Linked DNA regions of Canis lupus familiaris. The protein of the gene in region 2 binds, or shares a complex with, the protein of the main gene of each other region. Links are inferred from orthologs where the notes say so. Each region holds a gene or a part of one and is shown on either strand. Other genes may lie near its edges.

The links.
Region 1: METTL3 (region 2) and CBLL1 share a complex: the UniProt entries of both Homo sapiens proteins name them as parts of the WMM complex. The link is inferred for Canis lupus familiaris from reciprocal best matches to the Homo sapiens genes METTL3 and CBLL1.

Annotation. Positions count from the first base shown.
Region 1 is NC_049239.1:13,099,335-13,103,156, forward strand, and holds part of CBLL1 (E3 ubiquitin-protein ligase Hakai), read right to left. Parts: intron 811-3,822; coding exon 643-810; intron 1-642. UniProt on the Homo sapiens protein: E3 ubiquitin-protein ligase that mediates ubiquitination of several tyrosine-phosphorylated Src substrates, including CDH1, CTTN and DOK1. Targets CDH1 for endocytosis and degradation.
Region 2 is NC_049236.1:18,658,587-18,662,408, forward strand, and holds part of METTL3 (N6-adenosine-methyltransferase catalytic subunit), read right to left. Parts: intron 1,735-3,822; coding exon 1,517-1,734; intron 1,427-1,516; coding exon 1,022-1,426; intron 1-1,021. UniProt on the Homo sapiens protein: The METTL3-METTL14 heterodimer forms a N6-methyltransferase complex that methylates adenosine residues at the N(6) position of some RNAs and regulates various processes such as the circadian clock, differentiation of embryonic and hematopoietic stem cells, cortical neurogenesis, response to DNA damage, differentiation of T-cells and primary miRNA processing.

The DNA.
Region 1 (3,822 bases), on a different chromosome or scaffold from region 2:
AGAGCCATTTGACAATATCCATTAAATTCTAAAATGCACCGTATCCATCAACTTATAAAATACCCAAATTCATGCAGTTCTACCTCAAGTATACATGCTAAGCTATACGTACAATATTTACTGCAACACTGTTTTTAACAGCAAAGAAGTTATAAAAACTATTAAATTACGGCATATCCATAAAAAAGAAATATCCAAACCTATTTTCTTAAATGAGTACATCTGTATATACTGATACGTGGAAAAATTTCAAATGCATCTTACATGAAAAAAGGGCAGTAATACATTAAAAAGTTACTATACTATAAAAAAGTTGTAACAGAAATCATTTTGGTGGAGTACTGTCGAAGTAGAGGAACAAATTTTACTTTTCATATTATGCTTTCTGCAGTATTATTTAGGTTTTTTTATTTTCAAACAACAGGCAGTGTTACTTTCAATAACAAAAGAAAAAAACAAAAATACTATACAGGAAAGTACATGCCAAAATGAGAAGTCAAACAGAAAGACTGAAAAAAAGTGAAGACAATTAAGATAAAAAAAGGTCATTATTAGTAAATTAATAAATAAGACCACATGGATTATTTGCTGGAATTAGATACAAAAGAAAGACTTTTGGACTTGTCAGTTTAAACAAATTACCTTCATCACCAGGTGGAGCCTTTGCAGGCATCCTGTTTATAGTCCTTGGAGTTCGAGGCGCAGTTTTGGTTTTGTTCCCTTGTTTGGAGATGAGCTTTATAGGAATTCGTCTTCGAACATCAAGACCACCCAATGATCCAGAACTATTAGTGCCTTGTAACTCATTGTCTATGTCAGAAGAAAAAAGTTGTCATTTCTTTTAGTTTTCCTCTTTTGAAGATTATTCTGCCACAGGTATTAAAGTAACATACCCAACATTATCAAGGGCTAAATATGTAGGTTCTGATTTTAAATATTATGCTATATAAGTTTAAACATTAATTTTCTCTACATTAGATAAAACCTTAAAGCAATGCTTTTTGAGACAAAGAACCCTTTAAAAAGTTGACAAAAGTTATAGAACCTCTCCCTAAAAGTAGACAATAAAAATTTATGTGATTCCAGAAGAGTTTGCAGGAAACATAAGACCCTTCATAAGCCACTTCTGTCTTTAACTATGAGATAAGAACTTCTGTCTTTAACTATAAGAGATTTTTTAAAATTAAAAAAAAAAAAAAAGTAAAGGAAGTAGAAGGAGGAAAAGAAAGAAAATCATCCCTATCTCCACCAAGCACACAAAACACTTGTTAAAGTTAACGAAGTGAATCTACATTAGGACAATCAATAAAACAAAACACAAAACTAACACTGACAATGGCAAAATTAAATAAATAATGCATTTGAAAATGAAGTTAGTTTTAAGGAAAGTGATTATTTCCTTAAGTGTAAAATAGTTTTTCTAAAAAGTATTCAAGGATAGCAAAACTTATCACACCATTTAATAGCAGAAACATGCAATCATGTATTTGTGCTATAACCTTTCTAGATATATAATGTGAGTGTGCTATTGTAAGCAGCACAGCATCATAACGGAAAATTAGAGTTTAAGGGTATGCAAAATTTCTGCAATTAAACTAAATGTAAACAAGAGACACTTTCTAAGTCTCTGCTTGTTACTAGCTATGAAATAAATGAACTCATTTCTCATGAGTAATAGGAGCATTATTTCATAGAACTGACTCCATCGAAGGTTAATAGCCTCCCTTGTTTCAAGTCTGACAAAATATTACAATACAGTAAATATTCACCTTTACTACTAAAGACACAAAGGGAAATGCCCTAAAGTAGGAAATGCAAATAAAATAATTTTTTAAAATAGTAATGTTTTAAATGTGATAAATTATTGAACTTGCCATGCAGGAGATAGTACTATCAAGATTGATAGGCACACTGTCCACATTGCATTCAATAAAGCCAAATTAGGAAGTAGTAACCTAGTACTAATGACCTCCAAGGGTACTAGGATTTTAGACACGTGTTAAATTCACATCAATTTGCTTTGAACAATACTTTCTGAACAATACTTATTTTAAGTTTTATTTATCTAAGTAATCTCTATATCCTACATGCGGCTTGAACTCATGACCTCAAGATCAAGAGTCACATACTCTTCTGACCCAGCCAACCAGATGCCCCTCTTTCTGGACAATATTTAGAACAAAATTCAAAATAGGTCATTAATAATTAATTCCAATCTCTTTCAGTCTGCTTTCTGCTATTACTTTTACAAAAGCTAATCCTCAAAGAAAAAACTCATGGAAAGGAATTACATGGCTAGCTAAAATCCCCAGTTAGGATAAACCCAACTTGGTCAACCTTCAAACTTCACTACATGTATTAACAAGTTGAATAATGTATTTCATCTGCTTCCATTACAGTTATTTATGTAAAAGTATCTACAAGCCAAAAGACATGAATCATTTTTTTTTCTTTCTCAAAAGGTATTCCTGATTTTCCAATAAAGTAGAAAAGCAAGTTAATGTAGACAGATATTTAACAGTTCAATGTTGTCCTTCAGATACTAGAAAGACTCAATGGTTTTATCTAGTGGAATGACCAAATCCCAACCCTTCATTACTGCAAATCCTTTTCCCACCACCCTGAACACCTGTCACAATTGCTTGCTTAGTCCACCACAACTTCTAGGGAGTCTACTGCCCCTTAACACCTTGCCACCTACTCACAAATTGCAAGCCCATAAACAAAGTACAGCATTTAACAGTGACATCATTCTGGGCTTGCCTTTTTTTTTTTTTAATTAAAAATCAGAAAATACAGCAATTTCTTCTTGAACATGCCAACTAAAAATATAAATCCCGTAACCACAAAAGTTCTTGGATTTTACACAGAAAATGAGAACTAAAAATATAACTGACCATTTATTTTTACTTTTTACTTTTTAAAGATTTTCTTAAGTGATCTCTACATCCAATGTGGGGCTTGAACTTACAACCCCAAGATTGAGTCAAGCGCTCTACCAACAAAGCCAGCCAGGCACCTCTGTAATTTGTCATTTAAGGTGAATCCACTTTAAAAAGGAGTAACACTCTTACATGATAGTATTTTTTTAAAAGATGTGTTTAGAATTTTATCCTGAATTAAAGGAACCCAAGAAATATCTTACAAAATTTAGATTTCTGTTATAACTAACTGCTGATTCTTAGAACAACCTAAAGAATGAATCAAGTATTAATTGGAGTTTCTTGGAGTAGTTTTTCCTGGCAAAATGCTATTAGAAGATAGACTTCATTATATGTTTGACTTTTCAGCATGATCATAAAATCAGTCATTTTTTGCGTAATATTCAAGGGTTTCGTCAATTTCCTCAAGGGCCTCTCTTAAACCCTCCACATTAAAATTTTTCCGTTAAGATGCCTACCTGATCATAATGTCTTCAATCAACTGGCACTTCCTCACTTGCCAATGATTTTTTTTTTTTTTAATTTTATTTATTTACTCATGAGAGACAGAGAAAGAGGCAGAGGCAGAAGCACAGGCAAACTCCCTGGTAGGGAGCCCAATGCAGGACTCGATCCCAGGACTCCGGGATCACGCCCTGAGCCAAAGGCAGATGCTCAACCGCTGAGCAACCCAGACATCCCAGTTGCCCGTTTTAGTTGTGCTTCAGTTATCAAATTCATGTTTATGAATTCCATGAAAACCTGAATCTTTTGCAAGTTTTATAATCAGTCAATATACAGCATGTGATACCATTTCCTGATGTGATACCATTTCCGGATAGAAAGCAAGGACAATGGCTTACAACAAAATTAAAAGAATTGAAAAAGGAACGCCTGGCTG
Region 2 (3,822 bases):
GCCAATTCACCTTGTTTAATCATCAGTTTCCATAATTAATGGTCCATGTAACTCCCTTCCAGTATCCATCTCCATTCATCTCCTATTTCTATATTTGTGTCCCCCTTCTGTTGACCTAATGATTCTTCCAATGATAAACATTCTCTAAATCAGTTTCTCAACACTGGCATTATTGACATTTGGGGTGAAGTAATTCTTTGTTGTATAGGGATTATGCTATGATTGTAGGACGCTTGGCAGCATCACTTGCTTCTACCCACTAAATGCCTGTAGCACTCCTGTGTTATGACAACCGCAGTATCTCCAGACATTGACAAACGTTCTCTGGGGGTAGGAAAGGGAGCAAAATTATCCCCAGTGGAGGGATACCTGGGTGGCCCAGTGGTTGAGCAACTGCCTTTGGCTCAGGTCACGATCCCAGGCTAACCAGGATTGAGTCCCGCATCAGGCTACCCATGAGGAGCCTGCTTCTTCCTCTATGTCTCTCTGTCTCTCATGAACAAATAATTAAATCTTAAAAAAAAAAAAAAATATATATATATATATATATGTTATCCCCAGTTGAGAACCACTATTCTAAACCCTCAACCCTACAGCAAGAACTCCTCCTTGTCCTTAGGGGTAAATCCCTCTCAAAGCTGTAATTAAAAGTATATATGTGGGATCCCTGGGTGGCGCAGTGGTTTAGTGCCTGCCTTTTGGCCCAGGGCGTGATCCTGGAGACCCGGGATCGAATCCCACATTGGGCTCCCGGTGCATGGAGCCGCCTCCTCCCTCTGCCTATGTCTCTGCCTCTCTCTCTCTCTCTGTGACTATCATAAAAAAAAAAAAAAAAAAGTATATATGTAAGGATTGCCTGGTTGGCTCAGTTGGTAGAGCATGCAACTCTTGCACTTGGGGCTGTGAAAGTCTGAGCCCCACAATGGGTGTAGAGATTACTTAGAGATCTTAACAAACACACACACAAAACAAAAAAACAAAAACAAAGCATATGTATACAAGCATTTCCATCTACCCCTACCTTCTTACTCTGTTGTTCCTTAGTAGACTGTTGGTTCAGAAGGCTCTCTATCTCCAGATCAACATCTGAGGCAGCATGTTTCCTTGATTTCTTGGTTGGCTCCTTGGCTGCTTCTGATGCTGAAGAGGCCAGACCAGAGGCCAAAGAGCTCGCAAAGGCAGCTACTGTGGTTGAGTCCTGCTCTGCACGCCGCTTCTGCCCTGTGATAGTCCCTGCTACCTCCCCAGGGCCCTTCTTTTCTGCCACCGCGCCCATCATGGCAGAAAGCTTGGAATGATCAGCATAGGTCACAAGAGTGGGATGCGCATCATCTTGTAAGAGACCTCGTTTTACCTCAATCAACTCCTGAGCTGCAAACTTCTGTAGGAGGCTTTCCACACCATCTTGAGTGGCAGGGGCATCTGGCTAGGGAAGGAGGGGAGGGGAAGGCAATAAGACACTGACCATGAACTCAAAGGAGTGGTATCTCCCAACCCTGTCTTTTCAGGTTATTACCGTGGAGATGGCAAGACGGATGGACACAGCATCAGTGGGCAATGTTAAGGCCAGATCAGAGAGGTGGTGTAGCAATTTCTTCTCTAACTCGGGGTCTGTAGCTAGTTCAGGAACTGCGGAAGCTGTGCTGGGCTTAGGGCCCCCAGACGTGGGCACAGTAGGCACTGGACTATCACTGCGAAAGTTGGGTGACAGCGCTGCCTCTGGATTTCGTAGATCTAGAAGTGAAGAGAAGTGAATAAAATGACAAAGGGCAACCACCATAGGTCTATATGCTCCTTAGGAGTCAGTTCTCCAGCTCGTACTTTCATTTCATGTAGAGAATATCTGGCCAAATTTAGCACTAGATCACCTTTCCTCAATCATACAAGCATTCACTGCTTTGCCGAGATAATCCTGGATTTTCTGTCAACCACTTACCTTTTCTCTATTGAGTATGAGGTATTTTCCTAATTCCTGTGCCTACTGTGTTTCAAAGGAAATTAGCAGCATGGTAGATTTATTTTTTTTTATTTTTTTTTTAATTTTTATTTATTTATGATAGTCACAGAGAGAGAGAGAGAGAGAGAGGGGCAGAGACACAGGCAGAGGGAGAAGCAGGCTCCATGCACCAGAAGCCCGACGTGGGATTCGATCCCGGGTCTCCAGGATCGCGCCCTGGGCCAAAGGCAGGCGCCAAACCACTGCACCACCCAGGGATCCCAGCATGGTAGATTTAAATGTCCATGGGGATCCCTGGGTGGCTCAGCGGTTTGGCGCCTGCCTTTGGCCCAGGGCGCGATCCTGGAGTCCCGGGATCGAGTCCCACGTCAGGCTCCTGGCATGGAGCCTGCTTCTCCTTCCTCCTGTGTCTCTGCCTCTCTCTCTCTCTCTCTCTATCATAAATAAATAAATAAATAAATAAATAAATAAATAAATAAATAAATAAATAAATAAATCTTTAAAAAAATAAATAAATGTCCATACCATCTCCCTTCAGTCACTCTAAATGACAACTGAAATAACCCAAATTTAGGGGCACTTGGTGGCAAAGTATGTGAAGCACCTGCCTTTGGCTCACACGTCCGAGTCCTGGGATTAAGCCTTGAATCTGGCTCTCTGCTCAACTGCAGTCTGCTTCTCTCCCTTTGCCTGCTGCTCTGCCTACTTGTGCTGTCAAATACATAAAATCTTTAAAAATAAAGGTTTTACTTTTAAGTAATCTCTACACCCAACATAGGTTTCAAACTTACAAGCCTGAGATCAAGAGGCTCACACACTACCGACTGAGCCAGCCAGGTGCCCCTAGACTGCATCCTTTAATACTCAAACACAAAAATCTTAAAAAACATTGTGGAAACCCTGGTCACCAAATGAGATTTCCTGACCATTTTTCTCACTTACCCTACTACTTTATAAACCAGGTAGTCATCACAACCTTAACAAGACTTAAGAATTCAAATTAGGATAAAATATTCCCTTTTAGGAAGCTTAGTATCTATGATCGTTTACTTAAAATACAGATGGGGGCATCTGGTTGGCTCAGTCGGGAGAGCATGCGATTCTTGATCTTGGGGTTGTGAATATAAGCCCCATGCTGGGTGCAGAGATTACTAAAAATCTTTAGGAGCGCCTCAGTGGTTCAGTCGGTTAAGCGTCTGCCTTCAGCTCAGGTCATGATCCCGGGGTCCTGGGACTGAGCCCCACATGGGTCCCCCTCCTCAGCGGGAGCCTGCTTCTCCTTCTCCCTCTGACACTTCCCTGCTTGTGCCCTCTTTCTCTCTCACATAAATAAAATCTTTAAAAATCAGGATTTCAGGGACGCCTGGGGGGCTCAGCAGTTGGGCATCTGTCTGCCTTCAGCTCGGCATGATCCTGGTGTCCTGGGATCAAGTCCAGCATCAGGCTCCCTGCGGGGAGCCTGCTTCTCCCTCTGCCTGTGTCTCTCCTTCTCTGTCTCTCTCAAGAATAAATAAATAAAATCTTTAAAATCTTTAAAATATATATATATAATGGGGCTAAAGGAAGATGTAGAAAAGTTTTAAGTCAATACTTAGGATATGGTCATTTGTTAGGCAGCTATGAAATCTTTAATATTTTAGGTAAGCCATAAATTATTATCCATTACCCTTCCCACTTATTTCATATTCAAACTTTGTGCCAAGTATCTTACATATGTTGCTGCCATTAGTATGAGTTTTATTTTGTTTTTTAAAAAAGGCTTAAGGTACCTGGGTGGCTCAGTTGGTTAAGTATCCAACTCTTGGTTTTGGCTCAGGTCCAGATCTCATGGGTCCTGAAATTGAGCCCCCTCATCAGGCTACTTG